3 linked regions of the Alligator mississippiensis genome follow. The protein of the gene in region 3 purifies or fractionates together with the protein of the main gene of each other region. This does not show direct contact. Links are inferred from orthologs where the notes say so. Each region holds a gene or a part of one and is shown on either strand. Other genes may lie near its edges. The genes, in order: EIF4B, PRRC2B and EIF3F.

What was found.
Region 1: the proteins of EIF3F (region 3) and EIF4B purify together in Homo sapiens (affinity purification with mass spectrometry; 3 studies listed by BioGRID). This does not show direct contact. The link is inferred for Alligator mississippiensis from reciprocal best matches to the Homo sapiens genes EIF3F and EIF4B.
Region 2: the proteins of EIF3F (region 3) and PRRC2B purify together in Homo sapiens (affinity purification with mass spectrometry; 3 studies listed by BioGRID and IntAct, counting the BioPlex papers as one, with this or other methods). This does not show direct contact. The link is inferred for Alligator mississippiensis from reciprocal best matches to the Homo sapiens genes EIF3F and PRRC2B.

What each region holds. Positions count from the first base shown.
Region 1 is NC_081838.1:9,388,661-9,398,379, forward strand, and holds the start of EIF4B (eukaryotic translation initiation factor 4B), read right to left. Parts: upstream 4,722-9,719; 5' UTR 4,655-4,721; coding exon of another isoform or gene 4,642-4,654; intron 1,921-4,641; exon of another isoform or gene 1,904-1,920; 5' UTR 1,816-1,903; intron 1,150-1,815; 5' UTR 1,134-1,149; coding exon 1,115-1,133; intron 1-1,114. UniProt on the Homo sapiens protein: Required for the binding of mRNA to ribosomes. Functions in close association with EIF4-F and EIF4-A. Binds near the 5'-terminal cap of mRNA in presence of EIF-4F and ATP.
Region 2 is NC_081835.1:59,687,690-59,698,003, reverse strand, and holds the start of PRRC2B (protein PRRC2B), read right to left. Parts: upstream 4,023-10,314; 5' UTR 3,872-4,022; intron 1-3,871.
Region 3 is NC_081829.1:25,033,063-25,042,942, forward strand, and holds the start of EIF3F (eukaryotic translation initiation factor 3 subunit F), read left to right. Parts: upstream 1-6,061; 5' UTR 6,062-6,076; coding exon 6,077-6,389; intron 6,390-6,483; coding exon 6,484-6,554; intron 6,555-7,861; coding exon 7,862-7,941; intron 7,942-9,880. UniProt on the Homo sapiens protein: Component of the eukaryotic translation initiation factor 3 (eIF-3) complex, which is required for several steps in the initiation of protein synthesis.

The sequences.
Region 1 (9,719 bases), on a different chromosome or scaffold from region 3:
CCAGAACTGATTTCGTTCAGGTGCCTTCCACCAACACACAGGGCCAGCCCAGAACAGCCCTACCCCATGGGAAGTCCCTGCGGTGGTGTTGTCCAAATCTAATTTATGTTCCCAGAAACCTTCCTTTTTATTTTTGGCAAAGCAGAAGCCAAGCTGTCCAGCTCTGAGCTGTCAGTACTGAACCCCATGAACCAAAGGAGACCTATCAATGGCTTCTCTGCAAGTGCCTGAGGGAGGACTTCACGCGTCAGGCCTGGAGACAACATTTTGCAGCCTGGCAGAGGGAGATATGGGTGTTTTAGTTGTTGCATTATCTGTGACCTGTATATCAGGGCCAATTGTTTATGCCCACACCCACCCTGCTGTCATCTGTGCCCTCGAATACAGGCTCCTATTGTGGGCAGGTCTCACAGATTACCACCAAACAGCGGACAGGACAACACATGGGCTGTACACTCCTTCTGCCAGATCTCACTTGGAGTCCTAACACTATCTGGACAGGCCAACAAGTTACCCCATCAAGATCAGCCCAACCTATAGGAGCAGCCTTAGGATTCCTGAGAGATGGCTCACAGGAAGTTTTGCTGTAGCACTTCCTCTCTTCTCACAGCTTTCTAGATCACCCATGACTTTCCCAGGATTGGCTAATAAGATGTAGGAGCAAGCTTACTTATGCTTTCAGCACCTTTAAATGCATTTCAAAGACAGTTTTAAAATCACTGCTAGATTGAAGCTACACCCCGTGCCCATTTTTCTTCAGTCCCTCCATCCAGCTCTCCTTAGCAGCATACCTAGCAAGTCCAGCACCATCTCACTCCCCCTTTGAGCACCAGTTCATTCAGTCCCCAGCACAAGTGTCCTTGAAATGGGTTTGAATGCAGAGACCCCTATACACAATCCAGTTAGGAGTGGCAACTGCACTTCAGTGGCAAGGATACCTCCGCTAGTGTCAGCAGCGGAAAGCGAATACTGTCTTTTAAGCTAAATTGCCTTTCACGTGACAGAAGACCTCCGCCTGCAATGCTCTGGCAACTGGAAGGGCAGTTCCTGGAACCAGATGTGTTGAAGTCAGACAGAGGGTTCAAAAGCAGCAACTTCAGTTCAGTATACTTACTTTCCGCAGCTGCCTGCATGGTAACTGGGCAGGTCCTAGACAAAGATACATGACAGTTGTTTGAACCGCTTGTCCTTCCCCCCCTACCCCAGAGTTTAAAGCCAGTAATTAAGTCCAATGATCCTGGGTTTTTACTATCTCAGTCAGTTGCCATGGAAGCAATTGTGAAATCACACATTCAGCACTGCAACTTCATGGCGAGGCTGGGGGGAGAGTGAAGGGGGGGGTGTGTGTGCATCAAATACCTTGAAACACAAGCAGTAAGACCAGAGGTCTGGAAAACAAGAACTGGGAGCCGTACAGTTCTTCCAGCCCCCAAGTTGTGTTCTAGCGGTGGGCTCCAGTGGAGAGGCCACAATTCCCTTGGCCAAGAGGAAAGCAAAGACTCAGTGCTGTTAAGAGCCACATGCCAGGGTATTCACCTGCAGGAAGTTCTCCCAGGGCACTCTGCAAGCCCATTTTACTCCATCATGCAGCAGAGAAGTGGCCAGGACTTCTCAGGAGCCCTTCAATAGCACTCAGGCCATCCAGGTGAGCCCTGTATTGGCAAGAGGCATCTACGGACAGCTCTCGACTATGGGAGTTACAGGACTTGCAGTTGGGCCCTTACACATCTGCACAAGCACTGTTGCTGGAGCAGTTTCAAAGTTCACTTACAATATCAGCTTAAGGCATAAAGAATTTGTAAAAATAACAACCACCTTTATAGTCTGTGCGACTCTGCAACAATTCAGTCCTTTAGATGCTTCTTTCCCCTCCAAACTGTATAGGCAGAATCTTCCTATTGCACTGAAAAAAGAAAAACCAAGCATCTTTCCTGCCTTGCTGCTACCTTCCCAGTTCCTGCAACACATTAGCATGGCAAGCATTGCTAAGAAGTCTTGCTGGTTGCATGAATGAAGCTAAAAATAAATCAGACTGAAATGTCCAACCTGGGGCAAGATTCAGGAGTTTTCAGCGGATGCATTAGCTGCTTCAGTCGCAGAACATTAAGGAAGTCGCATAGAAGCCACATGCTGCCCCCACTCTGCAGCTTTGGAGGCTTCCAGAAAAAAAACATCCCAGGTTCTTAAGAGCTGGCTTAAGGTGAAGGAGAAAAACTGCAATGGTCTCAAGTGCCTCCCCTTCCTGCAAAAGGCTCTGGGGAGCAGCAGTTCCACCAATCCAGGATGCCATGGGGAAGCCTCTGCTGAAGAAATACAAACAGGGGCTGCAAGAGCTTTTTTTTAGAAAGGTGCATCTCTCGGGGAATCTAGGCACCGGTAAAGCGCTGCAGCCTCCAAGAGCTGGGAAGGAAGAGCAGGCTAGCCCTCTGGAATGGTTAAAGTTCAGTTTGCCAAGGGTAAACTCATGGAAATATGACGTCAGCAGTGGATAAAAACTGGCTGATCAGCAGCAGTGACCTACTGCAGTGCCTGCCTTGAGAAAGGAAGCTGAAGAACCCTCCTGCTGCAGGCAAGTGCAGCTGGAAAAGAGAAGCTAAAAGGTGCGTTCCACGCTCAGACACCCCCTCCTTCCCACCCAGACCTACGAGTGCCGGAGATGGCTTTCTAAACCCTGGCAAATGGGCTGCTAACTAGCAGCCGCCTTTCCAGAAACCCTGCAGGCTGGCTGTTTGTTCAATTTGCATCAAATGGCTGACAAGTCACAGGCAGGAGAGGAACAGTATGAAGCAACTTCTGTTGCAGGAGGCTGTGCACTGCTTATGCATCACCAAAGCTGTCACAACCTTGTAGGGGCTGGGAGAGACCAAGGCAAGGAAAGGTACTGGACAGAAGCAGCCCTCCTAGGCAGGTGAGGCTTTCTGACAGCCAACATCCTCTTTGCTCCTATCAAGGAGGCAGCCATCTCTCAACCACTCCCCATTTATCTTGTGAGGGCCAAGCCCTTCCAGGATGTTTCCTTAACATCTACGCTTAAGGATAAAGGAGATGGGTCAAATGAAATCCTCCTTGGACTTCCCCCACTGTTATCTCCAACAACCATACCTCCTTGACACTGCCATTCCCGCCGAGATGTAGAGGCACTTGCTACGAGCACCCTGCATTTCCAAAAACATAGGGCTGTTTTTATCAGTGCTCATTCAGGAATTACTGAGCAACTTGACCCAAGTAGGAATAAAACCTAATGCTCATCTTTCACTATAGCAATGGAAAAGCTAGCAACATATTTTTTACTCACCCCATGAAGTTTTCCCAAGCAAGCCTGAGAATAATATTCCGGGTTCAGCTAGACCCATATGACAGTACTCGTACAATATACTAAGCCCATGGCTTTTGGGCCCCGAGAGCTTTTTTTCTCTCTCTCTCTCTCTCCTTTCCCTCTTGATCTTTAGCTAATGGCTGGGTTTGGCTTCAGCTTCTGCTCTGACGGTCCCACCAATGCACACGCACACTGTGATCAGCTATAAACACGCCTGTGCAGGCACCAAGGGAAAAGGGAGGTGCATCTCCTGCCTCTGCTGTTAGCTAGGAAATATGGGACTCTACAGTTCCGCTGGCAGCACGAACTCCAGATGACGCCTGTGAACTGAAGGGTGTTTTAGTGCCGGCAAATCGCACTTTGGATCCACGCGCCCGGATATTGCCGTCACATAGCGAGAGCAATGTTTCTGCAGTAAAAACGTCGTGCGCTTTGGCCAGAAAGGGAAAGAGCGCTAGCAGCAGTTGAGGGAAGGAAGAGAACGGCCCTATCCGTTGCACTGATGCCTCGACTCCCCCCCCCCCCGCCCCCAGCGTCATTCCCCTGCGCCGGTTCCACCTTGCGCACAAGAAACACAATGCAAAGCACGCGTGCTCTGCCACTTCTCTTCGGGGCGCCGAATGAAATGACATCAGGGGAGCCTTATGCAGCGGGAAACTGCAATTGGGGGGGGGGGAGGGATACAAGAGAGTTTCTTCTTCTTCCAAAAAAATATAAAAATAAGAGGGGCTCAGACGAGGTAGCTGCAGCGTGACCCCGACACCTTCGTAGACCCCGCGCTTCGCAGTGCAAACTCAGTGCCAGGAAGCGTGAAAGCCGATGGTGCGTAGGAGATCGTGGGACAAAGATGCGACTGGCTATTTTGGCCGACTCCAGGCTCTCCCAGCCCTGAGGGACCTTTTCAAGGGGTTGGGGTTTTTTTTGGATAACCCCCGCAGACCTCCCAGCATGGGGCAGGGGGGACGGGAGGCCCCGAGACCAAGGAGGACCGGTGGGGGGGTGCACATGGGGGGGGGTGGTCCGGGGTGCCACGAGGCCAGGCCACGCGGGGGGGGGCGGGGCCCGGCCGCGCCCACGTGGGCGCCGCTCCTCCACCGCCCCCTCCCCCTCCCGCGCCTGCGCAGTGCGCGCCCAAGGGTTCCGCCCCCCCTCCCCCCCGTCAATCACCGGCCGCGGCGCCAGCCCAAACCGTTCCGGGAGAAGGGGATGCGGCCCCGAGGGTGTGTGGGGGGGAAGGGGGGCCGCGGGGCTGGGCCCCCCCCGGGCGCGGGGCCGGTAGGGCGGCGGGCGCGGGCCTTGGGCCGCGGCGGCCGAGCCGCACTCACCTGACGCCGCCATGTTGGGCCGAGGCAGAGAAGGCAAAGGACCCGGATGCGGCCGTCACGTGACTATAGCGGCGCGCCCGCCCGCCCGCGGGGCGGGGCCTCGGCTCGGCTCGGCGCGGCGGCTCTGTGGGGCGCGGCAGGCGGGCGGCGCTGCGCGCTGCGGGCGGGCAGCAAAGAGGCAGGGAGGGCGCGGGGTTCGGCTTGGCGTCGCCGCCCGCGCCGGGTTCTCTGCCTCCCCCCCCCTCCCCTGGCATCTTGGGAGAGGGGGCAGCTAATTGCACCAGAGGGCAGTTATTGGGGATGACTGGGGGCAGTACTGCAGTTTGGAGGGGGCCTGTGATTGGGGGCAGTAGAGCAGCTGGGGCAGTTTTGGGGGGGAGAGGGCTATGGGGGCAGTAGAGCAGCCAGGAGCAGTTTGGGGATGGGAGGGGTATGATTGGGGGCAGTAGAGCAGCCAGGGGCAGTTTAGGGGGGGAAGGGGGCAGCTGGAGCCCAGGGCGCTGCAGCCAGCTCTGGGGTGGGGGCTGCCGGACCCTGGGCTCACTGCACCAGTGCAACCAGTCCGGTCACACTGGACCGCTACAGTCGTGCCCCTGCCCGCTGTGGCTTTCCTGGGCCAGCGGAGGTGGCGGGGCAGGGATTCAGCTTTGCCAGCCCCGCGTTCCCCGTCCGAGCGTGCCGCATCGCTGTGGCACGGTCAGGCCGACCTACGTATCTTGGCTCGCTGACGCCGTGTTGGCCCGTGGCGCCGCGCGGGGTGCAGCGTGGAGCTCCTGGCACTGCGGAGGAGGCACATTCGCCTGCTTTTGCCCGGCCGTTTAGGACGGGAAGCGAAGGGTCATCCCCCGGGGGCAAGGCTAATGCTTCCCCAAGGCACCGGGAGTCTTCCCACAGCCCCTGATGGCCGGCAGAATGGGATCGGCTGCCAGGGGACGTGACAGTTTTTTACCCCTCGTCCGAAAAGCAGCCCCGGCTGCAGCACGACTCCTGCCCTGCCCCTGGCACCGCACTGGGGCTTCAGGGGCAGAGCCGCACGGTGCTGGGGTGACGCTTCACAGCTGGCTTGGAAGCAAATTTGGCCCCCTCTGTGGTGTGCAGCTCTCCACCTTCCTACGGGCCCAGCCAGCCCTGCTTAGCTCATGGCTGGACCATGACAGCCCAAAATGAGGGCTTTCGATGCCAGCAGGGAGTGGGCCCGCTGTTCCCGAGCATCCGTGAGATGCCCAACCCCGTTTTTTATTTATGAGCAAGAGTCTCCAAAGGCCCCACTTCTCCAGACTGTGCTTACTATTACTGCTGGCAACACAAGCTTGACTCTTCTCGTGCACCCATTATTACGAATGGGGAAACTGAGGCAGGGCGATGTGTAATTGCCTTGAGACTACACGGGACTAGAACCCAGGCGTCCCGGCCTCCCCGATCCCTCCCATCCCAAGGAAGCCTGTCTCTTGGATTCGGCCCCCCTTACCTATGCAGAGGTGAGAGGGAAGCCACGTAATCCTTGCTTCCCTGGTCCCCGGTTTCTGGCCGGGTCCCCCATGCCCGGGCGCCGTCCGGTTTTTGCTAAGGGACAGCCCCATCTCGGCCCAACCGCTGCAGAACGCTGCACGCCGCCGGGTTCTCGCCATCTGCCTTAAAGGAGCTGGCAATGTCCAAGACCCCCGTCCTCTTTTGAAAGAAATAACCTCTATCAGCCCCTTTTCTGGCTGCAGATTTATCCCGAACAAACTGGGATGCAATAAGGGGTGATCACACGTCAATTGAAGGAGGGAGACGGGACAGGGCTGTTCTGCGTTCTGTTCGCAGCGACTCCCTTCTTGGTTTTGGGCCAGACTTGCTGTAAAATGGGGTTAAGAACAAAGTTAATGATGATAAATGGGCTAGGATGCACACTGAAATACTTCGAGATGATGATACAGTGTACGTAGGTGGAAAATATTAATGAAGAAGTGTTATTTTCTGTCCCAAATGCCATAATCCCATAATCCAGCAGATTAAATGAGGCTGGTGTTTTCTATAGGGATGATCTTCCAGGCACGGGCGAGGACTGGGAATAGGGAAGGAACATTTGCCTATGCTATGCTCTTGTCCATATATGCCATGAATGCTATGACATTCATGGCATATATGGACAAGTATGAAAGCAATTGGGAGGCAAGAGGGTGTAGCAGTTAGGGCACTGCCCTGGGGGCATCGAGACATGAATGACTCCCTCGCTCCAGTGTTGCCCCAACCCCTGCCTGTCTGGTCTGTTTACATTCCCAGCTCTTTGACATCTCACCGCGTTCACAAAGTGCCCATCACTGTTACTGGGATATGCATCATCATATGTGATATCTTCCTCTAGGGCGCCGGTTGTCAACCTTGTTAGACTCATGCCACCCCTCATTAGACTCAAGGCACCCCTCCGAGGATGGCAGCTCTGGTTCTCACTCGCTTTTTGGCTACAAAAAAAAAAAGCAATTCTTCCATTGCAAAGAACAGAGAGACTACAACAGGTTTTAATGCTATGAATTCCCATTTTAAATTTCTGGGTTCATCTTATGAATCACGTTTGAACATCTAACACTGCATGGCACCCCGCAGCACCCTTGAAAGGATCTGAAGACACCCTGGTTGAGAATCACTGTTTTAGGCCATGGAAAGGGAGCCTGTTGTGCTGATGCTGCCTGACTGGTGCATCGGAGACAGCCTGGACAGCCCTTTCGTATACCCCCCGGGGACCTGTGGATGGAGGAGGACAGACAGCCATAGGAGAATACCTCCAACTACTCACTAGTCACTATGGGTAGGGACAACATTATTTTTTTGGTAAAAATATGTGTCTTGTATATAATAAAGGTTTTATATCTATCTATCTATCTATCTATCTATCTACATACACACACACACCTTCTAGTCACTGATCATTGTCTCCTTAACCCACCATAGGTACCGCGCAACCATTACAATATACTGCACCCATAGGATAGTGCTCCCGTACACCCGACTGCAAGGCATCTTCTCTCTTAAACCCTTGTCTCTTAGTCCTGTCCCTGAATACAGGGTTTAAAACTCAGTTCACTCGCTGTTGCTTCTGCTGGAGGACCTGCTGCTGCTGTCACTGCTGCTGCCCTCATTGCTATCTTCTGATCCTGTTGTCTTGATGTCCTCTTCTCTGTCACTGTCTGTTTTCCCACTGGGGAGGTCTTGAAAGATCCTATGCCGAGTGTCCCTCTGCCAGGCGGATTTGGCTATGTCTTCTGCTACCAATTTCTGGTAGTAGGACTGAAGTTTGCTCAAAGCCATTTTAACGCAGTCTACCACTTCGAGGTTTGTGTGTCTGTACATCAGGATGTTCCTGCATTTCCACAGGGCGCTCCTGACGCAGGACACAAACTGATCGAAGCGGGCTGATGGGCGCCCTTGGTGTTTAGTTAGGTGTCGGTACAGTGCCACCTCTCTTGACAGCTGTCCAACCAGTCACTGCTTCACAGAGCTGCTTCTACACCTCCTTGGTGTACGAGCAGAGCCATAGGAGGTGGTCGATAGGCTAGGAACAGAATTTACATATAAGCTGGTATAGAGGATTGGAAACTGGTTCAAATCTGTAACACAACAGAAGTTCATGCACATAAGCCGCTTTCAGAAATGGCTGAAACTGGTTTAAACCTGCATGGATGTGGTATCAGACTTAACCGATTTTCGTTAAATCAGTTTATTGAACTTCTGTCCCAGATCCCCTCCAATTCAAGTTAATTCATGGTCCCCCAGCATCCCAGGATGCTTTGCACCTCCTGCATAAACCCCACCTCACAATGTGGATGGGCTTGGCCCAAGCTGTCTGCTCAAACTGAGCAGGGAGGGATGCTTTAGTGCCCCCCACCCTGCTTCTGGCCTAGGCCACTGCAGGCATGTGGCTGCATTTCTGGAATCAACAGTGCATGTCTGTTCACTTGCTTCTTGGTTCAATCTACGCAGCTTAGACTAACCCGCAAAGATTGAATTGATTCAGCCTCAGGCTTTTTGACTGTCTGCACTGTATCAGTCCCTGTGCTTCTTCCAGGGAGCTGCCCTATTCACTCAGTGTTCCTGCCACGAGATGGCAGCATCACATGGAGGAGGCAGGGTAGACTTGCACCTTACAGACTAATCAAAGTAGGTATTACCTATATAGTGCCAGTTTTCATGAGCCCAGGCTCACCTCATCAGATGCTGTGACAGGACAGGCATTGTGCAGGGTAGCAAATGGAGACAGTGATTTGAACACAAAAGACAGGGAGGGAGGGAGAGGGGGCAGTGCTGGGAGAGACAAGCAGTAAACCCCAGGTAACAAGGGGGTCACAAAAGCTAACCCAGGTCATGGGATAGGAAGTCTCTGTTTAAAGCACACTTAACCGGTCCAGTCTGGGGCGAGTTCTCATTCCCCAATTTCCCATTCAAATTGGTTTTTAAAGGTTTGCTACCTAAAAGCAGCCATGCTCAGGTCAGCAATAGGGTGTCCAAGGTGGTTGAAGGGTCTGCCATGGGTCTGCTTGGACTCACGAAAATTTGTGCAGACTTCAGTCAGTCTATAACAAGGGCAGGGGTGGATCCAGGGGGGCTGCACTGATGCATTTGCATTCCCCCCCTACCCTGTTTGATCTCTGCTCCAACCAAGGCTTGGTCTGTCTGGCAGTGGCAGCAGCATTTCCAGTCAAGCGGTGCTCAGAGAGTCAACCGATTTCATGGTGCATTGTCATCTCCCTGATCCACAGGTCTTAACAACCCTCACTTCTTTATAATGGTCTTGATCTTCCACCAGTCATGCTGTTCTTGCAATCCCGCTTTCTGTGGCTGCTTCTGGTTATGAAGCTCCTATTTCCCAGCCCTGCAGGTTGTTCTGAACTCATTCCAATGAAGTTCAATTTGTTTTTGCTTCCATCTTAAACTGAATAATGCAGCCCCGGGCCCCCTGCCTATTGGCAAAACTTCTAGTTTATTTTTAACTGGAGAAAAACAAGTGATGTTTTATATGTGAAGATGCACCTCACCGTCTGCACCCTCCTTCTCAAAAGTCTAGATCCACCCATGAACAGGGGTGCCAAACATATGGCCTG
Region 2 (10,314 bases), on a different chromosome or scaffold from region 3:
AGAACTATGCAGCTCCCCCCACCAGCCCCAAGTTGTTTCTAGTGGCCACTAACAAGGATCTGAAAGACCTGCTTTCACACTTTTTCCTGTTCCAAATGACAGGCTAGCAATAAGGAGCTGTAAAATTACCAGCCTGAAATGAATCAATGCTACATGAAAAGCAAAATCCACTTTGGAGGTGCAATTAAGTGAAAAACGAGGATCAAGCATAACTTTCATTACTAAACAACAGGGTAAATGGGAAGTTGACCAGTGAGGACCTGGGGTGGGCACAGGGATGTCTCACTCCTGCCAGCCTAAAATCCACCCACCCTGTGCTTCAGATTGAAGACTTCCTAGAAGTTCCTCCTGAGCCCACAACTTCAGCTTGGGCAGTCACAAGAGCCCCGATTACAAGGGGAAACTTCCAGCAGCAAGATGGCTTTGTACTAAGAGCAGCCATCAGCGAGTCTACTATTTATTTCTTATATTGTAATAGCACTGTGAATCTTTCCCCTCCTGGTCCCCAGGTATTTCCAATTGTAGAGTTAAGTACAAGGAAAGCCTTGAGCAGCTCACAAATGCAAACAGGACCCAACAACCTAACTAGGTATTTTTGTAGCCAACAAAAGGCACGGTACTCCGAAACTCAGGTGTATGAAAGGGCCCTAAATGGCATCCTAAAGCAGGGCCCAACACTTGCAGTTCAGAAAGGACAGTCACAAGTTAAGGACCTGCTCCTTACCAAGAGTGATACAAAAATACCAGCACCCCAGACATGGAGATCTTGGAGATTATATTTTATATTGTACCAGTCCTCACAAACACTGCCGCCAGAGAGATCAGGCCCACCGTGATAATCCCTGTAAAACATGGCCTTTAATATTGTCCCAGTCAGGTAAGTCAATGTCTTGATAAGTCTTAAGGCAATCAGGATTCATAGCAGAGATGATCTCTTTTATTAGACCATCAAGATTTTTGCAAAAAAAAAAAAAATCTTTAATTGCAAGCTTTCAGGTACAAACACCCTTCATCAGGCATTGGAGACAAGATTGTAAAAGTTCTCCTGGGTAGAAATGAAAGTTCATATTTCACAGGTGATTTCTAGGAGGATGGCCTTAAATAAATTAGTCACTAAGTATAAGTTTTGCAAAAAAGTTTAATATGAACGGGGCAAATCTCAAGGCAGTCATCTTTAAACAAACAGTCCTCCCTTTCATGACTCAGATTTATTACAACTTTTTTTTTTTTTTTTAATCCTACATTTTCACCGGTTTTTGCAGTCTGCTCTGCTTCAACCAGTTTGGCCGAAAATGTTCTACTTTCAGGCTCTTCTGCACTAGACAAAATGGTGCAATGTTTAATTTGACAACATTGCACATGGAGCGATTGAACTCCAAACAAAAATTTGCTGAGTCAAGGGGAAAAAAAGTGGAGATATTGCTGCTAGACACCAAGTTTGTGAAACTTAAAAAAAGTGTGTGCGAGTGAGTGCGAGTAAAGAAGTGGAGATATTGCTGTTGGATGGAGTTTGTGAAATGCGTGTGCACTAGTGCCCCAAACTACTGATGGGAAATCACAATGGGGCGATTTACAGACAACACAGGAAAGTGTTTTGCATCCCAAAACAAAGATGCACACTCCTATTCTGTACGTCTACACACACACCTATATCTATTGCTCCAATATGTTTTTCTTTTAGTTTAAATGTTGCCCTGAAATTTGGCTAGCATCTCCTGAATCACCACAGACAACCACATGCTCAAAGTGGCTAGGAAATAAAAGGAAACAGACTGGCTTGTCTTCCACGTCCCAGCCAAACTCGGGGCAAACACACAGCAGGGGATGAGAGCTGCATTTGATTTCTTCTTTTTTTTTTTTTTAATTCTTTGCTGTGCCAATCTTCAGCACGCGCTGTTATCCAGCTGAAGACTTTTTTTCAACCCCATAAAAAGAGGCATTTCAGACAGGTCACAAGGAAGACACATTATCAATCATTTCATAACATATTAAGCCAACTGTTGGGGGGGAAGGGAGAGGGGCAGGGATCTCTAAGGCCTCATTGCTGCTGGGAGCACTCACGTGGACCATCAGTGCGGCTCCAAACAAGTTTGCCGGTTCATAGACCCTTGCAGAATTGGGACTATTTTCAATAATCTGTTTCCACAGAAGAAAACATGCAACCACTTAGCCTGAGGGATCAGGTAGAGACCACCCCACGCAACTTCCCTCTTCCCCTCCTCTGGACGATTTTATCCTATGGGCTCTTGGTCCAAAGCAGGATGCTGTGCAATCATAAAGCAAGCGCACATCCATAACAGGCCACGAGCAAGCAGAGCCCCCCAGAAAAAACAGGCCCTGACATGACACCCTGCAACTTTATATTTGGCCAGTCTGTTAGAAGCCAGCAGTGCCAGGCCAGCTCTTGGGAGCAGCAAGTGTCTTTCCTGACCTCTGTAAGAGTGCCTTGCAAGAGGGGGCTACTACTGCAATAAAAGTTTTAAGCTACAACCATCAGCTTCTTAAAAAAAAAAAATCAGTAAAGTGAGCAGCAGCTTTCAGTAAGGTCCGTCAAAGCAAAGGGCCTGCAACAACCTGCAGAGTCAATACCCCTCTCCGGAAAGGATCGCTCTAAGGACCAGGGCTCTCCTGCAGGCCTGTTTTCTCCCCACCCCCTCCAAACCCAGGCAGCATTAAAACAAAAAGGCTCCATTGTAAGCATTGCTCCAGCAAACGCGGATCCTCCCTCGCCATTTCTCTGCCTCGGAGCCAAAACTTTCACGGCAAAATTCAGCGCTCGTGTCTGTGCAAACCTGGCTTCGACCGGGTTTGGGGGAGGCGGCAGCAGCGTGGGGGGAGCGTTTGCCATCGCTGCCCATTACGCCCAGCTCCGCTAAACAAAAAAAAACAACAGCCGCCAACTCTCATCAGATGTGCAGGGGGAAAAAAAACCCCCCAAAACAACAACATGCGTTGCCATCCCAGGACCCGCAGCCTTTCCAGCGCAGGTGACCCCAGCCCAGGGGGTGATGAATTCCTTCCTGGGGCCAAAAATAGCTTAAAAACAAAGCCTGGCTGTATCTACCGAAAAGCATCGGGACCCCAAAACCGCCCCCCGAGCGGCCTCCGAACCGCCTCTCCCCAAGCGCCCCCTCCAAAGGCTTTGTTGAAATGCCCCCATCGCACCCAAAACATCTCCTGCGTGCTGCAGGGAGAAACAACCTGCCCCGGCGGCTTCCCCATCCGCCCCGACCGACTTTAACAATGCCCTCAACAGCCCTGGGCTTCCCGAGCCTGGACTTCTTGTTGCAACGCAGCATTTATTGTTTTGTGGGGGGATGCCCTACAAAAACAATACAGCATTTTGCACGGCGCAGCCCTCCACCCACAGCAGCAAACCCGGGGGCACGGCGCCGGCCTCCCAGGACCTGGGCGCACAACCAAAACAATGGGTCTTGGGGGAAGACGCTCGACACCCGAAGGGTGCAACTCAGCCCCAAAATTTAAAAAAAATACAACCCCCCCCCCAACAAAAAACCCTTGCCTTGCAGGGGTGGAGGGGGGTCAACCCCCTCTGCCCCCCCTCTCCAGCCCCCCTGGCTGCTGGGCTGGGGGGAGCAGAAATGCAGGCTGCCCAGCTGCAGGGAGGAGGTGCCCAAATCTCTTGGGGCGGGGGAGCCCCCAGACTGGTGGCAGCCCCAAAGGGGCTTGCACCCCGGCTCTGCCCCTGGGGGCAGCAACCAGGCAGGGTATGGGGGAGGGGGCGGGCCAAGGCCGGCTCTCTGCAGCCTCGGATTCGGGCTCCATTTTAGAGCCGCCTCGTCCCACCCCCCCCAGCCCCGATCTCCCCCGATAGCCCCCGCCAGCCGCGCGCCCCGGCCCCGATACCCACCTGTGGTGGTGGGGGGGAGCCGGCTGTGCCTGGGGAGCCGAGTCAGGAGGGGCGATGGGGGCTCGGGGCGCAGGATGGCTGCGGATTGCGCGGCGGCGGCGGCGGGAGCCTGGCGAGACGGCTTCTCGCTGCCTGTGTCTGCCCCTCCCCCTCCCCGGGCCGCGCCGCCGCGCAGCGCCCCCTGCAGGGCGCCCGGGGAAGGCGGCGCGCTCGGCTCCTGCGGGGAAGAGGGGATGGGGGTCCCTGCAGCCCTCCTGAAGCGGGGGGGATGCAGCTGGGCGTGCAGAACAAGGAGCCATAAAGGGCTCCAGCTGCAGCAAAGGAGGTTTAGGTTGGATGCTAAGGACAACTTTCTGGCTAGGAAGGTGGGGAAGCGCTGGGACAGTGTCCCCAGGCAGGGGTGGGCTCTCCATGCATAGGGGGTTTGAAGAGCCAGGCAGAGGCACTTGGCTGGGATGAGTTGGTTGGGGCTGGTCCTACTTTGAGCAGGGGGTTGGACTGGTGGGTGAATGCCGCGTGCCCCCTGGAGCCGGGGGGCACGGCGGTGGTAGTGGCAGGGCAGGAGGGTGGCTAGAAATCTCTGAAAACCAGAATGTCCTCTATGATGGCCACCCGACGCTGCCCCCTGTCTCCAAGCCCCAGCTCCCAGGGTGTGGGGCAATGGGTGGGTGTATGGGGCAGGGGGAACTCTGCCAGCCTGCAAGGGAAAAGCCACAGTTTCCCATGTGTTTCTCCTCTCAAAGAGAATCCATTTTTAAAGTTTGTTCATACCTCTTTCATATATTCTTGCAACCCACTTTTGGGTCACGACCCACAGGTTGAGAAACACTGGACTAGATGTGACCTCCTGAGGGCCCTTCCCACCCTCCTTTTCTATGAGTCTGTGAGCCCAGGAAATGCAGGTGTGTTTGAGAGACAAAAAGGAAGAGAAAGAGCAAAGAGAAGGAGAGATGGGGGAAGTGCAGAGCTGCTAAATCCCAAGGTCTCAGGGGCTCCCAGAAACTCAGGGGCTTGGGGGCAGCCAGGATAGTCGGGGCACACACACCAGGATTGGCATGGGCATGGCAGCAAAGGGGGCAGCCAGCAGCCTGGAGAGCCAAGCCCCCAGGCCCTTTGCCAGTTTGTTCCCTTTCAAGTCTGGCAGATCTTTTCTCAGTGTGAATGAAGGGAGGGAAATATAATGTGGGGAAACAAGCTGGGACTGGGCAGATCTGCTCAAGGAGCTGCCAAGCGGACATCTGATTTTCCAGTTTCTCATTGCAGGCAGGTAGGGGGTGAGAGTTGAGAAGAAGTTAAGGAAGGGAAAGAGGGAGGAGAGGAGATGCTGACTGACAGAAGCCTTGACCCACAGCCCATTGGAGTCAATAGGGATGCGATCCAGTTTGGTCCTGGAAATGCCTAAAGTAGACTTAGCCAGACTCCGGGCACCTTATATGCCAACTGCAATGCTGTTTAGCTTTTCCCCACAAGCCTCAAAACTCAATAGGCATCCGAGGTCAGGCAACATCTCCGGTTTGGGCTGCTAAGCTCCTTAGGCAAACATACGTGAGCACCTGGGCAGCTCAGAAGTGATCCACCTTTGCCTCCAGGTATCTAACTCTCGCCTGAGCTTTGCAGTGATCCAGCTGGGTGCTGAGGATGCCAAGCTGCATTGCACCCTAGCAATCTTCTCGTTGGCTCCAGCAAGCTTTGAACAGCAGTGTCTCTGAAAGGTTTCTTTCTAAGCATTCACTCCGTTCCCAGTCTAACAAACAGTCGCTGCCCAATGCCTCATCTGAAGGTTTCTGAGGTCTTTATTATCATTTCCTTTCTTGTTTCCAGTTCCCTAACCTTCGCCTGACTTCCAACCCTCTGTCTAGGAGCACCAAAACAAGTCATGAAGGGCGTCAAACATCAAACAACAAGAAAGCCAAGCAGGTTTATTTTCTGCTCGGTGGTGCCCGCGGACAGCGTTTGGAGACAGCGTGCAGACTCAGGCTCTGGGATTATGAAAGGCAGAGGGAGACAGTTCAAGAAGCCAAGGAGATGCAACTGGCTGGGATTTGTTGGAAAGAAGATAGAGCACAAATACCAGGTTTCCTCCCCAGGCTGCCTACCATGCACCAGTGAAAACGCTGTTCCAAATTTGGCTCCCACGGGCTGTTGAATTCACCCCTTTGCTAGGACTACCAGCAAAGAGTCTGAGTAAGGACAGCTATGGTAGGGGTCCTATGACACTGATACCTGCCTGCTAGATCTGGGCTGCGGTGATTAACCTGCTGTTAAATGCAAAGCCTTTTTTTCTCCTGCCATGTCTCTACACTATTTAAAGCCTCACTCATGATCCTCCCTTGGTTTTGTAATCAGGGAGTCCAAAGACAGCCAAAAGGAATTGCCCTTTGGAAGGGTTTCAATCTGAAACCACTATATTTAATTTCTTTTCTCTTAAACGATACATAGAAATGGATGCAGCAGAATACTGGTGACGTCCCTGCCCTGAGAAACTGTATTAGCAGAAGGCATCTAGCCATACAGAGGGAGCAGCTATCCAAAGAAACATGATGCAGGCAGGCGGGAGGTGAGAAGGGTTTGAGTTTAACATGATGTTAACTACATTCTTAATAAGAAATTCACACCAAAAATGCAACTGGAGTATTGGCTCCAAAGCCCAGCTTCTGAACTGCTCAGCGATTAGTGTCTGTGTGTTACACTGCTACCATCAACTTAATGACGTCCAAAGCTTTCTGGACATCCCTTTGGTTAGCTACACCATGAGATTGCCCCTAAATCTACATCTCCTCCTACTTGCAGCCTGCACCATTCTGGACTCCGACAAGTAAAGGAGCAGACCTTAGTGATCATACCATACTAAGGCCCCATTATGAAACCAAAAACTTTGTAACATCAGATGCATCTCCTAGATCCATGGCTTGGCGATTGCTACAAGAGCCACCTGTAACTTGGGGGCTAGGAGGGGCCCATGCAGGCTGCACCCAAAACACACTCAGGTTCAGAAACATGTTGCTTTAATAAGCAGTTCTCCCCCTCAAAGAGAACTCACATTTTTTGCACTGTTCTTCCAAAGTGTTTCAGGGGCTTTGCAGAGAGAATTTCCTATCTCCCTGTAACACCTACTAGTACGGGGCTATGCAGTTCCTTGGCAAGAGGAAAGCAGGCTAAGCATCCTACAAGACCTATGCCAAGCTTTTCCAAAGCAACTGGTGGTCTTGGGCACATTGATTTTTTTGGGTGCTGTGCCCCACCTGAAGCCTGATTTCTGGGAAGAGTGCCCAGCACTTTCAGTGCCTCTGTCTAGATACCCCAAAGCTGAAGAAGTCAAATCACAAGTCACTTGGGGAAATTTTGACCTACTTGAGACATTCAAGATCTCAATTAGAGACTTGAGTGAGAATGTTCCCTTGCTCCTACAGCTTTAACAGCATGGCTAGGAAAACAGAATGATGCATAGTCGATCTCAGGATCCAGCATTTCCTTACCTCCACAATTTTCCCTTTTTCCTGACACCAAGGGAGTGTGGTAGGCTGTTTGGAACGGGGTGAATCTGCTGGGTGCATATCAGCAAGTCAACAACAAACACATCTCTTGCCAACGATCCCAAAAGCAGTATCAGAGCAGCACCTTTGGCCTGCTGAGCCCTTGGTCCAGGAGAGCTGTGTGTACATCCAGATACAAAGAAGAGCCAACACACCAGTAAGTTAAAGAGCTCTTTGCAAAAGCTCAGAAGTGATTTGTTTCATTTGCTTTGACTTGATCATAACATATTGGCTATTCTTCACACTTGGGAAGGATACACCTTCTGTGCTGAAGTTTCTAAATTCTGCCACTTTTGAGCCACATGTCTAGAGAAAACCAGGCTAGGATTTTTTTTCCAAATAGAGAAGAAACACTTTGATCACTCTGAAATAAAGAAAGAGGAGCCTTTGTTGGAGGGCTATCAGCAGGGGCTATTAGAAGGTAGTAGAGCATTCAGTCTCCCGCCCTCCCAATGGTGGACACCGTTATTGGATATGTCCCATAGACTGGGTCTCAGAAGCAGTGGTAGCCACCTGGCAAACAGAAGAGACATCTTGGACCAGGCCACCTGTCTTTCTGCAGGTGGGAGAAATGACTGGTCTAACAGCAGGCTAACACAGGGGAGGAGGGTATGCAAGAGCAGCTTCTTAGCCCATGTGTCACATTCCCACTGCTGGATCTGCAAACCTATCAGAGTTGCCAGGTATCGAGCTACTAAGAAAGTGCAGCAAGAACGACCAGTCTATGTGTCCAATTCTCTCCTTTTCTGGAAGGAAGCTATTCCCCTTCCATCCTACCCAACTCTCGTCTCACTTCTCTTGCTTCTCATTTCTTCCCTCAACAGGACCTCTGGCCAGTCCCTCCATTCCTCATCTTACAGCCGCTCACATGGAACATCATGTCCTCTTCTTAACATCAGCAACTCCCACTCACCCGTTCTCTCTGAGAGATTCAGGGCATTAGTCTGGTGCTTTCTCTCTTCATCAGCCTTCTTCCAGGTCTGGTGAGGAAAACAGCCACACATCTGAACATATATATCTATATCTATATCATTGCTTGGAGAGCTTCATCCTGCCCATCACAAGTACAGAATATTACATGCATATCAACATGCCAGGGAGCTCAGGATAATGCTCTACTGCAGTAATGACAGTGCTGCCACATGGTTGCTTCTACCTAGCTAGGAGCAACCTGCTGCACCCCTCTTAACACCATGAGATTGCCCCTAAATCCACATCTCCTCCTACTTGCAGCCTGCGCCATTCTGGACTCCGACAAGTAAAGGAGCAGACCTTAGCGATCATACCATACTAAGGCTCCATTATGAAACCAGAAACTTGATAACATCAGATGCAGCTGCCCCCCCACTTCTAGACCCATGGCTTGGTGATTGCAACAGGAGCCACCTGTAACACAGGGCTTAGGAGGGGCTCATGCAGGCTGCACCAAACACACTCAGGTTCACAAACACGTTGCTTTAATAAGCAGTTCTCCAAAGTTTCTCTGTGCATCTCCAAGGAAACATTCCAAGGCCAGGGAATTTAAGTGCCAATTAAAAGAAGCCCCAGCGCCGAGTGCACGGAGGTGAAATAAACAAGCAAAAGATAATAGCACATCCACCGATGACATGCAGATCCTTCAGCCACAGCACTCAAACCCATTGCTCATCCATCTGTTCCCAGCATACAGCACTCAAACATGTCACAGACACCCCTGCAACAGCGTGGGTAGCTTGTGGGATAGAAACAGGTTGTACAGTAAGCAGACCAAGACAGGGCCATTTCCCAAGCTGCTCCTGATCAGCAGGAAGGTATCTGTTGCCGTATAATTACCAGGACCGACACGAGCCCTGCTGCTAGTGAGATCAACTCCATAGACCCCGGTGAACTCTCCACTCGCTCAGTTCATTGCTGTTTGGCCTTGCACCCCAATTTCCAGGACCCTCTTAAGATTTCAGTATTACTGACTGCCGCTTTATTCAGAACCAGGCACCGTCAGAATGGTGAAAATGTCTACTGTCACCCCTAGTTTCATGGGCAGCTTGTTTTTTAATTAAAATATATCTATATCTATATAGTTATATATATGCATCCTCTATCATAGACTTCCATCACACTTTTTTTTAAAACCACCTTAAGAAACCCACACACCCGTTACAATAACCGCGCCCGCTCCCCTGCACCCACGTGCACCCACCCTCTACCCTTCCCTAACACAAACATAGTCCCTTAGTCCAAGCCGTGATTTGGGGTTTCCCTTCTCAGTTTATTCTGTCCTTGTCACTGTCGATGTTGCTGTCTCTTCCTCTGCTGCTGATCTTGTTGTCCTCCTTGCTGTCTCCAGGTCCAGTTGTGCTGTTGTCCCCTTCGTTCTCCCTGTCCACTTCCCTTCCTGGGGGGACTTGGAACAGCCTGTGCCACATGTCCCTTTTCCAAGCGGAGCTCTTATCCTCTCCATCCTCTCCCACTGCTTTCCGGTAGTAGGACTAGAGTTCACTCAGAAACATTTTAACGCAGTCTGTCTGCTCAAGCTTAGTGTGACTGTCCATCAGGGGTTCCTGTACTGCCACAGGGTGCTCCCGATGCAGGACACAAACTGGTCAAAGCGGGTCGTCTGGGACCCCTGATGTTTCATCAGGTGTCCGTACAGCGCCGCCTCCCTTGTTATCAGCCTGACTCCTGTCGCTTCCTCAAGGAGACGACTTACCTTTTTCCACACTCCCTTGGCATAGGGGCAGAGTCAAAAGAGGTGGTCAATGGTCTTGCTCTCATCTTGGCAGCTTGCCCTGAGACAGCTGGGTCTCGACTCTCATCTTGCCTCCACGCCTTCACTGGGAGTATGCCATGAGCTATGAGCCAGTTCAAGTCTCTGTGGTCTTTTCTTAGATCTTTGTGGAAGATCCGGTCCCAGACGGCCTGGCAGTCATCGTC
Region 3 (9,880 bases):
CTAGCTAGAGTAGGCAGAAGCTCTGAAAGTTTCCCTGCCCTTTGGACACCCAGGAAAGGCCCTTATTAAATGGGAAATTTAGGCAGCTTCTGGAGCTCTAAACCCCTGGACTGGCTGCACGTTAAGTGGCTTAAAGCACTGGTCATTCTGTTTGGAGTTACACCACTCCTGGGCAGGATTAGCTCCAATCTGCCTAATTTTATTCCTGTTCCATTTCTGTGGGGCCACTTCCACAGCTATTCCAAGTTGAAGTTCTCCAGTATCTCAGAATACACTGAGCTCCAAGGGGCCCAAACCCTTTTTTCTCTGGGCTACTGGCTGGCTGGGCACCGCCTGAGCTCTCAGGGGCCCGATTCTTTTTTCCCTGGAGCGCTCAGTGGCCACGGTGTCTCCTCCAGTTGCCCAAACTACCTCTACTCCCACCAGCGGTAGTGCAGGGAGCAGGCACCATCTGAGCTTCAGAGGAAAAGGAGCGGGTCCCTCAGAACTCGGAGTAAGCAAGCTCCAGGTCTGCAGTCTTGGAGCTCTCTGATCTCACTGAAACCAACACGGCAGCTCCATGCTGAGAGCAGGGCCCTTGGGGCTTAAGCCTGGCAGGCCCACTTGTGTGTAACCACTATGTCAATTGCAGTGAGACCAGAGAGCCCCAGGAAAGCAGCTTCCTGGAGCATTCTGGTCTTGCTTAAACTGACACAGTGGTGAGCCCACTCTGCCTGGTGGGAGCAGTGAGCAAGTCCTAGTGAGGATAGTCAGAGCAGGTTTTTCATCCTACTATGTGACTACTCCACAAAGCTGAACAACACTAAGTGGATTAAAATTTGTTCATCTTATAGCGTAAGGTCTAACAAGGCCAAAAGTAGCTACAGCAAGCAAGGGGAGGGGCAGGGGAAGGAAATGGGAGGGGATGTGCTGCTGAGCACAAGGGGAAAGGAAGGGGGGATCTTACCTGCTTTGGGAACTTTAAGTCACCAGAGGCTCCAGCAGCACAGTCTCATCCAAAAGATGGGTGTAGCCATGCCACTATACCCTGTCTGGATTCACCCCTAATCCCTGCCTTCTGTCTTTTTCAAGGTTTAGGCTCAAGTATTTGTGGCCACAACTGTATACTGCCTAATCAGTGGGTACCCTCCTGCACACGCTCAGTAGCTGTAAGTGCATGCACAAGGGATCACCAGGGATAGGCAAGGTCACAAGGGATAGCTAGGTTAGTCTGATTGAACCCCAGCAGCCAGAACAGGATTGCCTTCACAGATTAGGAAAATGAAGAGATAACTCCAATTAAAGCTAGCAGCAGAACTTCAAAGAACTCTAAGTTCTAATACCCATGTTCTATTCTAAGCACTAGACATACATTGTTGTATAGATAAATGGCTGAGCCACTATAAAAAAGCAATGGGAATGTGTTCTATGGCAGAAAACATATGTCTGGATAATTAGTGCCATTGTGCTCAAATAGTGCTATATGTGCTCTTTGTTCCTCTGTGCCACTGTAATTTTTTTTTGAGGAATGTAGAAGGTACAGTTTAAATTAATCTAACCTGCTTGCACTACTAGGAAGAATTAAGTTCTACTTCTTTCATGCCATTTCTCAAGTTATGCTTCTAATCCTTTTGGGTTATTAAAATTAAATTCTAAGCTAAGGTTGCAGTGAACTCCTTTAACGTGAGATAAAGCACTCTATCTGAACATAGACATGGACATTGAACACAGACAATGCTAAAACTGAATGTGCTCAGACTGAATATAAAAATGCACTGTCCCTGGGAATTCCCTGAGTTGTCCTGCATTTTCCAGAAAAACTAGTAAGGTGGATTCCCATGGTTTTTGGGGGGTTATTTTTTGAGAATCTAGCGGCTCCTTTCCAGCTAAGTATTACACTTTTTAACAGTTATGACTGACCTGAAACAAATACCACTGAACAATGAAAAAGTCATCCAGACCTACACCCTCTAAAAAACTTGAAGGATCCAAAATATTTGGTTAGGTAACTGTTACTGGAATTAATATTTTTTAAAAGGTTAGATTTTTCAGCATGTGCCAGTTCAATAACCTGTACTTACAAGCTTAAGATGCCAGAGATCATAATAAAAAAGCATTCCATACACTGAATTACTGAATACAACTAATTATGTCCCCAGCTAAGAAAGCACTAAGTGAGGTACAGATTAGGTATTACTGTGAACCACTTCTTGTTTTTTTTTAATGTTGAAAATCTATCATTTCTTCAGTGTGTTATCACTCCTCCTCCTGCTTCATTTTTTGTGAAATGTTTAAAATGTGTAAATGTGAAAGAAATGTGTAGAATTCAGTCTCTTCTACTTCAGTGAATGTTGTCACAACACAGTGATTTTGGTGCCTCAGCACTATGGAATTTTCTTGTCACATGAGAGCCTCTTGCACAGCGAAGGTTTTTGCTACCATTAAACCTCGTCTGCCTCTCCATTCACCAGCCCGCCCTGACGAACGAGCAATTTCTAAATCACCTCGGGTCGGCTCCAGCTGTCCGAGACAAATGTATCTGTCTCCCCCACTGTGATAGCATTAATACATTTCTCTCTCTTTTTTTTTAATACAAGCTCTCCTTCAAAACCACTCTCTTATTTTAGCTTAGATTTAAATAGTAACTAATGAGCATATGTACTCCTTTGCATGCTCTTTTTGAGCACCTAATAATGTCTCATTCAACTCTAAGGGTAAGGGACACACAAAGGCCCCAAGGTAAGCTGGTCTGTGAACCTGCAGCATGTGAACTATTCTGAAATAACTCTCAATGTGAACGCTCTTATGTGGTAAATGCAAGGAAGCTAACCCTAGCTTACCTCACAGAAATGTGTTTATGTCCTCATAACCTAACCTAAGTTGAGGAAAAATAGATTTTTATGTCAATTTGGTGTGGAATTAATACAACACCTCAGTTTTTAGAGACAAATGGAATTTTACAGTAGTATTAGTCCAGCATCCCCATGCAGAATGTTGGTACTATTCTATGTTGATTATTAAAATAGACCAATAAAGTTCCATGCAAAAACAGGGAAAGGCTTAATTTTTTCTTGTTAACCTTGGTTTGAGTCAATGAGTCAATGTTATGCTGGAGGTTGAGTGGCTTCAGGCAAATGTGTGGTTGATTAATGGGTTATTTCAATCTTGGCTGATACACACCCTAGATCAGCAGTTTTCAATCTTTTAAACTCAAGTCACCCCCCCTTTGACTCGAGGCAACCCTCCATAACTTTTGTGAATTGCATTTCAAAAACTAATTTATTTATTATAGTGCAGGTTGAGGAATGGAGGTAGGAAAGTGGCCAGGGAGAGATGAGCATGGGTGTGCACTTGTTCTCTTCACACTTGCTTATCTCCTCACACCTCATAGCACCCTTGAAAACCCAGTTCTGGCACCCTTCCTTGTAAGAGAGAATTACACTTGCCCTGTTACTATGAGAAAGCTGGGGAGCAAACAGAACTGGCAAGGGCCCTCAAAAAACAGGATTTTTGTGATTCAGAGGGATGAAGACTCAAGGGTGGAAAAGAGCTGCAAGGACCAGCAAAGAAAAACTCCAGATGGCAAGCAGCAAAAAAGAGAAGAAGCAAGGTCCCTGCAATCACCATTAAACCTGGCCTGAGCAGGGGCTGAATTAAGAAGGGATTGTAGCCAAAAGGCAGGCAGCTGGCAGGGCTGCAGAGACTAATCAGCAACCCCTGTGCTCAGACTGGATGATGGGTCTGGCTGGCTGGAAAGGGAGAAGCTTGGAGGAGAATAAAAGGCTTGTCCTCAGACTAGAGAGGGTACTCTGATCCTGGCTGGGAAATAAGTGAAGCTTCTAAATAGACTATGGTGGTACCTGGAGGTACAGTAAAAGGGGCCTTGATGGGTAAGGGTTAAGAGGTTTTCTTTGTTTTGGTTTTTTTCCTCTTCAATATTTTTCCCCCAAGTGGACCAAGGAAGGATAAGGATTTAAGTTCACGTGCATTTTGGTTGTGAATACCTGAAGGAGCGATGGGTTTTGTTGGATTTAAGCTAGCAAACACTGGATGACCAAGAGCAGCTGTAAAAAGAGGAGGCCACACTGTAGGTGCCGTAAAGCACCCTGTGAGTTTAACCCCCTACATGCAAAAAGGTCATAAAAAAACTTAACCAGTGAGGCCAGAAGGCTGGGAGAAGTCTAGAACCTGCACTGTCAGGCTTAGTCCCAGCTGTACAGCTACTGTTGAGAAACCAAGACTAGAATAAGTGGAAGAGGGCCAGGCTTGTCAACTGCTGGGTGTTACTACTATCTGGAAGGTCTAGTCTTATCATAGCCCCTTTGCTTAGAATGGCCAAAACAATAGGAAAGAAAAGTAGTTAGCCATATTTAGGCTGGAGTCAGGCAAAAGGCAGGGTAGATTAGAACTATATAGACTAACTACATCAGGGATGTATAGCATAAGCAATGGCTTTTGAAATGAACTTCTGTTTATGAAAGCTTATGTTATGCACCTCTGACTTGGTCTATAAGGTGTAAACTCACTCTAATTTGTGCAAAACAATAGAAGCCCCTGCATGTACATTTGGATAGCGTTCCAGATTTAACCATGGCTAGCTGTGTAGGCTGACTGACTTGAATGAAAGTCAGGAGTCAGCAGAAGCATTGATGGCTGACCATGAAACAAAGCAAAAAAATGAATCTTGTCAGTTTTGTGCTACTTGGAAAGATAGTTGTTTCATCCCACCACATTCAAGAAAATGGGACACAGGGGGGCACATGCCCCCTGAGACTGGCCACTGCCAAAGCTGCCACAGGCTTCTGTAGGTCATTACTGCCCCTCCCCTCGCTGCTGACATGGTGGCTGTAGGAGGTCACCACTCGCTGCTGCAGCCAGTGTAGACGATGGCTGTGGGCAATTGTTGCTCACCACTGGTAACAGAGCAAACAGCAGCTCCCCACTCGTGCCCTTCCCCCCCCTCCCCCAAAACAAACCCCTCCCCACCAGTGGCAGCAGGGGAAGGAATTAACAGTCCTGTGCAATTAACCCCCACATCTCCCTCCCTTGGAGGAAAAAAACTATTCCCAGTAAGGATATTGATCCAAATAAGGGGATTTATTTTACTTCCAATGCAATGAAAGGTACTTTTTTACCCTAATGCAGCATAGGGAGATTTTGCTCCCAGAAATAAGTTCATGGTACAGGGAGGTAACACCATATAGCGATGATACTCCAACTGCAAGTTAGCACAGCAGTCTGTGTAATAACTTATGGTGAAAGCAGATGTTGAAGAGAAAGTATGTAAGAACAAAGATAGAAAGGTCAATGGGGTCGCTATCAAAATCAGAGGCTGGACACCAGAGCTTGGAGCATGAAGCGCTCATACGGCCTGGTGTTAGTTACCATGGAGGTGCAGAGTTGTGACTAAGAAGTGGTTTCCATTTAGTCTTTGGGCAGGAGAAGATTTCACCTGCACTCGTACCCCATCCACGAGGTATGTGAGCCTTGACTCGCTGCACAGACGGGGCACGCTCAACGCTCAGGAAAGGTACCTCTGCTAGTGCCAGGTAGCCTTCCCAGTACTTTCGCTGACAGGGCGGAACGGCGCTGCTTACGAGCCGCTCTGTCCAAGCAGCAAGGAAGAAAGGCTACGTGGGTGACAGGGTCAGTGGCCGGGGCGCGGGAAACCGGCTCGCTCTGCTGCTCCCCGGGAGATGCCGGGACTGCAAGTGACAGGCTCCCCCGAGGCGTGGCCTAGCGCGCCTGCGCAGACGGCCGAAGCTTCCCTGCCGTATGTCCCTGGAACCACCGGGCGCCCAGGCCCCACCGGCTCAACCCGCGGGCAGCCAATGAGCGAGCATTGACACAGCCGGGCGAGCGATAGGTTTAGTCACCAGCCAATCGAAAAGCTTAGGACGCCGAGAAGGCGGGCACAAGCGTGGCAGACCGACCCAATCCACGGTCTCGTGCCTCCTCTGCCGTCCTGAGGTTGGTTTGCGGCTGGGGTAGGCGGGAACTCGTCCTCCTCCTGCCCAATGAGAAGTCACCATAGAATGACGGGCGTCTGATTGAGCCCGTTATCGCCGGCGCGGTACTGCCCACCCCTCTCTGCAAAATGGCGGCGGTAGCTCCGGCGGCAGATCCGGCTACGGCGCTAGCGCCTGTCCCGGCCGCGGCCCCGGCGCCCGTCCCATCAGCCCCGGCGCCCGCCCCGGCAGTAGCGACGCCAGCAGGAGGCGCCGCCCCGACGGCGGCGGCCCCGGTAGCCGTGCCGCCCGCTCCGCCCCCGCCCCCGCTGTCAGCGGTGCTGGGCGGCCCCTTCCCCGGCGGCCGCGTGGTCCGGCTGCACCCAGTCGTGCTCGCCTCCATCGTGGACAGCTTCGAGCGGCGCAACGAGGGCGCGGCCCGGGTCATCGGCACCCTGCTGGGTAAGAGCCCGCCGGCCCGGCCCCGCGTCCTCGCCCCCGCCGGGGGCCTGCCCCGCTCCGCCCCGCCCCCCTCACCCCGCTCTCTGCCTTGCAGGCATGGTGGACAAACACTCCGTGGAGGTCACCAACTGCTTCTCCGTCCCCCACAACGAGTCCGAGGATGAGGTAGGTCTGGGTCCAGGACTCCAGCTCCCGGCTCCCTGGTCCAGCTCAGCTGCATGAGCCCCCAGCCCTGCCGCAGAGCTGTGGTGGGACAGGGCCGGGAGCAGAGGTGCCCCAGGACACCCCGGAGAGCTCTGGAGAAGGTGCTAGTTACCCCTGGTGCAAAGTACTTGGTTGCCGTGGCTGGGAGTAGGGGAAGGCAGCTGGCACCTAGGGGCTTTATGGGCTAATACAGATGGCTGATTGTTAACAAGCTGTATCGCTGCTACCGATCCAATTGCTGGTATGCTCTCTGGTAGCCTGGAGAGCAGTGTCTGGCTGGTAAGTCTGTTGGGGGGAAGGGGCATGGGGGGGGTGCAGATCAAGGCCCCCCACGGTAAGGGAGGGAGTGGGGCTGAGGCTGGGGCAGGCACTGCCCAGCCAAGGTGGAGTGCAGGACAGAGCCAGGGGGTGCGAGGTGAGCACAGGCTGGGGCCAGGGGCAGTGCTGGGCTCTTCCCAACACAGGGAGTTGGGCTGGAGCTGCTCTTGGGGCAGGCAGGGGTGGGGTGGGTGACCACAGCACTGGGAGAGGGAGTTTGGGGTGGGTTGTGACCACGCTGGAATTTGCCATAGCTACCCCATAACTCCCCAACCCCCACCGGGAAGAATCCAGCACCACCCCTGGGTCCAGCCTGCAGCAGCAGCCCACTCACCCTGTGCACAAATAAGGGGGGCTCATGTCCCCATGCCTCCCCCCAGGGGTGCGCACTGTGATGAGCCGCTCCCCACCTTCCTTGGAAGAGCCGTTTGCAGCTCTGTCCCGCACCCTGCCTGTTCTGGGTAGTGCCTGCCCCAGCCCCACTCCCCACCTCACCGCAGGGGCCTTGATTTGCGCATGCACCCACCTCCTCCCCCCAGCAACTTACCAGCCAAACTACAATATGGACCAGTGTACTGGTGTATCTCTGCTGGGAGTGCTACTTTGGAACATGCTGTTCTCTCTGTTGTGGGGGTCCTGACTCTGCCCTGTCCCCCATCTGTGCATGCACCTGGAGCATTTGGACTCCTGAGCAGGCTGGGGAGTGCCCAGTGGTGATGTAGAGTTGCATTAACAGGCCCTGGTGGCAAGTCTGTCCCTTAGTTTGATCACTGCACCACAGTATTTGCTCTACTAGGTCTGGTCTGGTAAATACCAAGAGATGGGACTCTTCTGTGAGGTGTGGCTGTTATCGTCATCCCTTCCACCTCCATTAAGCTGCCTTCGTTGCTCTTTGCTCAAATGGAAGTGCTCCTGCAGCTGGCAGCTTCATGCTTTTTGCTCTTTTTTAGGTTGCAGTTGATATGGAGTTTGCCAAGAATATGTACGAGCTGCACAAGAAGGTTTCTCCCAGTGAAATCATCTTGGGGTGGTAAGTGGTCATCCTGTACTCTCTTGCTTGTGTCTCTGGTATCTGGGGTTCCAAAGTGGTCACCCATCCCAATACTAGTCAAGTTCAGGACTCCTTAGCTTAAAGCTTCAGACAAAAATCTGCATTCAGTGTAGCATAGCTGCTGCACAAACCTATTAAACTTCTTGAAACAAAAGCCAATTTGCTGGTTAGCTGGTTGCAGAAGTGCTAGCTGTTAGCTTAAAAGCAAATATTGTTAACATGTATTAAATTTTGAGTGTGAAATAACTTTTTTTCAGTTACTTTTTCAGGAAATGTAGTTGGTATAGTATTCTAATTACTATTGTAGTGTTTTGAAGAAGTTGGTTTTCTGGCTGTATATGAATGGTAATAAAACTTTCCTTTCCCCATGGTGGAAAGTTCTTAGACCTCTTGCCTAAGCCTGCTGAAGGGAGAGAATGAAGTACATCTTTGACATTGTTGTCTGTGTAAGAAAGGATGGGTGTGTGTTTAGGGGTCTGTGTTTAGGATAGGGGTGGGCAAAATATGGCCCGTGAGCCGGATGCAGCCTGTGAGGCCATTCTATCCGGCCCGTGGGGCCCCTAAAAAATTTAGAAAATTAATATTTATCTGCCCTTGGTTCTTGCCAAAAATGACAGGAACCAAGTGCAGTAGGACCCAGGGGAAGCCTGGTGGGCTCTCACAACAGCAGGGTCAGCTCAGCCCCACCCCCTGAGCTGGAAGCCCCAGTTGGGGCTTCTGGCCTGGGACCACATGGTTGCCCCCGTGGTGCTGGAATCTCAGGTAAGGGAGGGGAGGGGGGGGCAGGCAAGGAGCCTGGGGAAAAGCTGTGCTGGGGAGGAGGGAAATGAGTGGCTCCTCCTCCACCCCATGGCTGGTGCCCTGCGCTGCAGCTACTCCCAGCCCGCTTGGGGCTGCCTGTGCCTGCCCCGGACAGCCCCGCAGGCTGCGAGCGCCAGCTACAGGGTGGGTAAGGGGCTGCTTCCCTTCACGCTCAGCACCTCCTTGTAATCCAGCCCCACTGCCAGCCTGGGTCCCACGCCGGCTCTGGGCTCACCCATCGGGGCTACGTGTGGTGATGTCAGCTGTGGCCCCCCCTGCTTGCCACGCCAGCCAGTGTTTGCCACCGCCGCCTGTGGGCTGCTCAGTGTGTGCCCAGGCGGGCAATAGCAGCCAACACTGCCTGGCGTGGCCAGCAGGGAGGCTGCAGCTGCCAACAGGCAAGTCCAGAGCCGGCGCAGAGCCCAGGCTGGCAGCGGGGCTGGGTTACAAGCTGGTGCTGAGTGCGGGGGGAAAAGCGGCCCCTCACTTGCCCCGTAGCCAGCGCTCCATGCTGTAACTGCTTGCAGCCCATGTGGGGCTGCCTGTGTCTGCTCCAGACAGCCCCACGTGGGCTGCGAGCACCTGCAGCAGGGAGTGCCAGCCATGGGGCGGGCGAGGGGCTGCTTTTCCCTGCACTCATCACCAGCTTCTTCCCTGCCAGCAAGCAGGGGGTCAGAGCTTTGTGCTGCCCCCCACCTGTACTGAGGGGCACTGAGAGTGAGCGGGTGTGGGAGCCAGCAGGAACGCAGGGCCCAGAGCAGGGTGTCAGGAGCGTGGGGCCCCAGCCAGCAGGGGCTCTATGGAGCCAGGACAGTTTTCCCTTCTCCCTGCTGGTGCAGCCCAGTTCAGCTCCACAGACCCCTGCCAGCCTGTGCCCTGCTTTGGGCCCCGCTGCTGCTGGCCCTGGGACATTGGTCCCAAGACATAGGGGCATTGGTCCTAAGATGGTGACCAGGGGCTGGGGCACCTGTCAAGGGGCGGGCCTACCTATGCAGCCCTCAACAGCCTGCCAAAACTGGGTAAGTGGCCCTCCGCCCAAAATAATTGCCTGCCCCTGGTTTAGGACATGGTGCTAGTGATTTGAAACCACTGCGTCAGTAGATAAGTGGCAAGATAT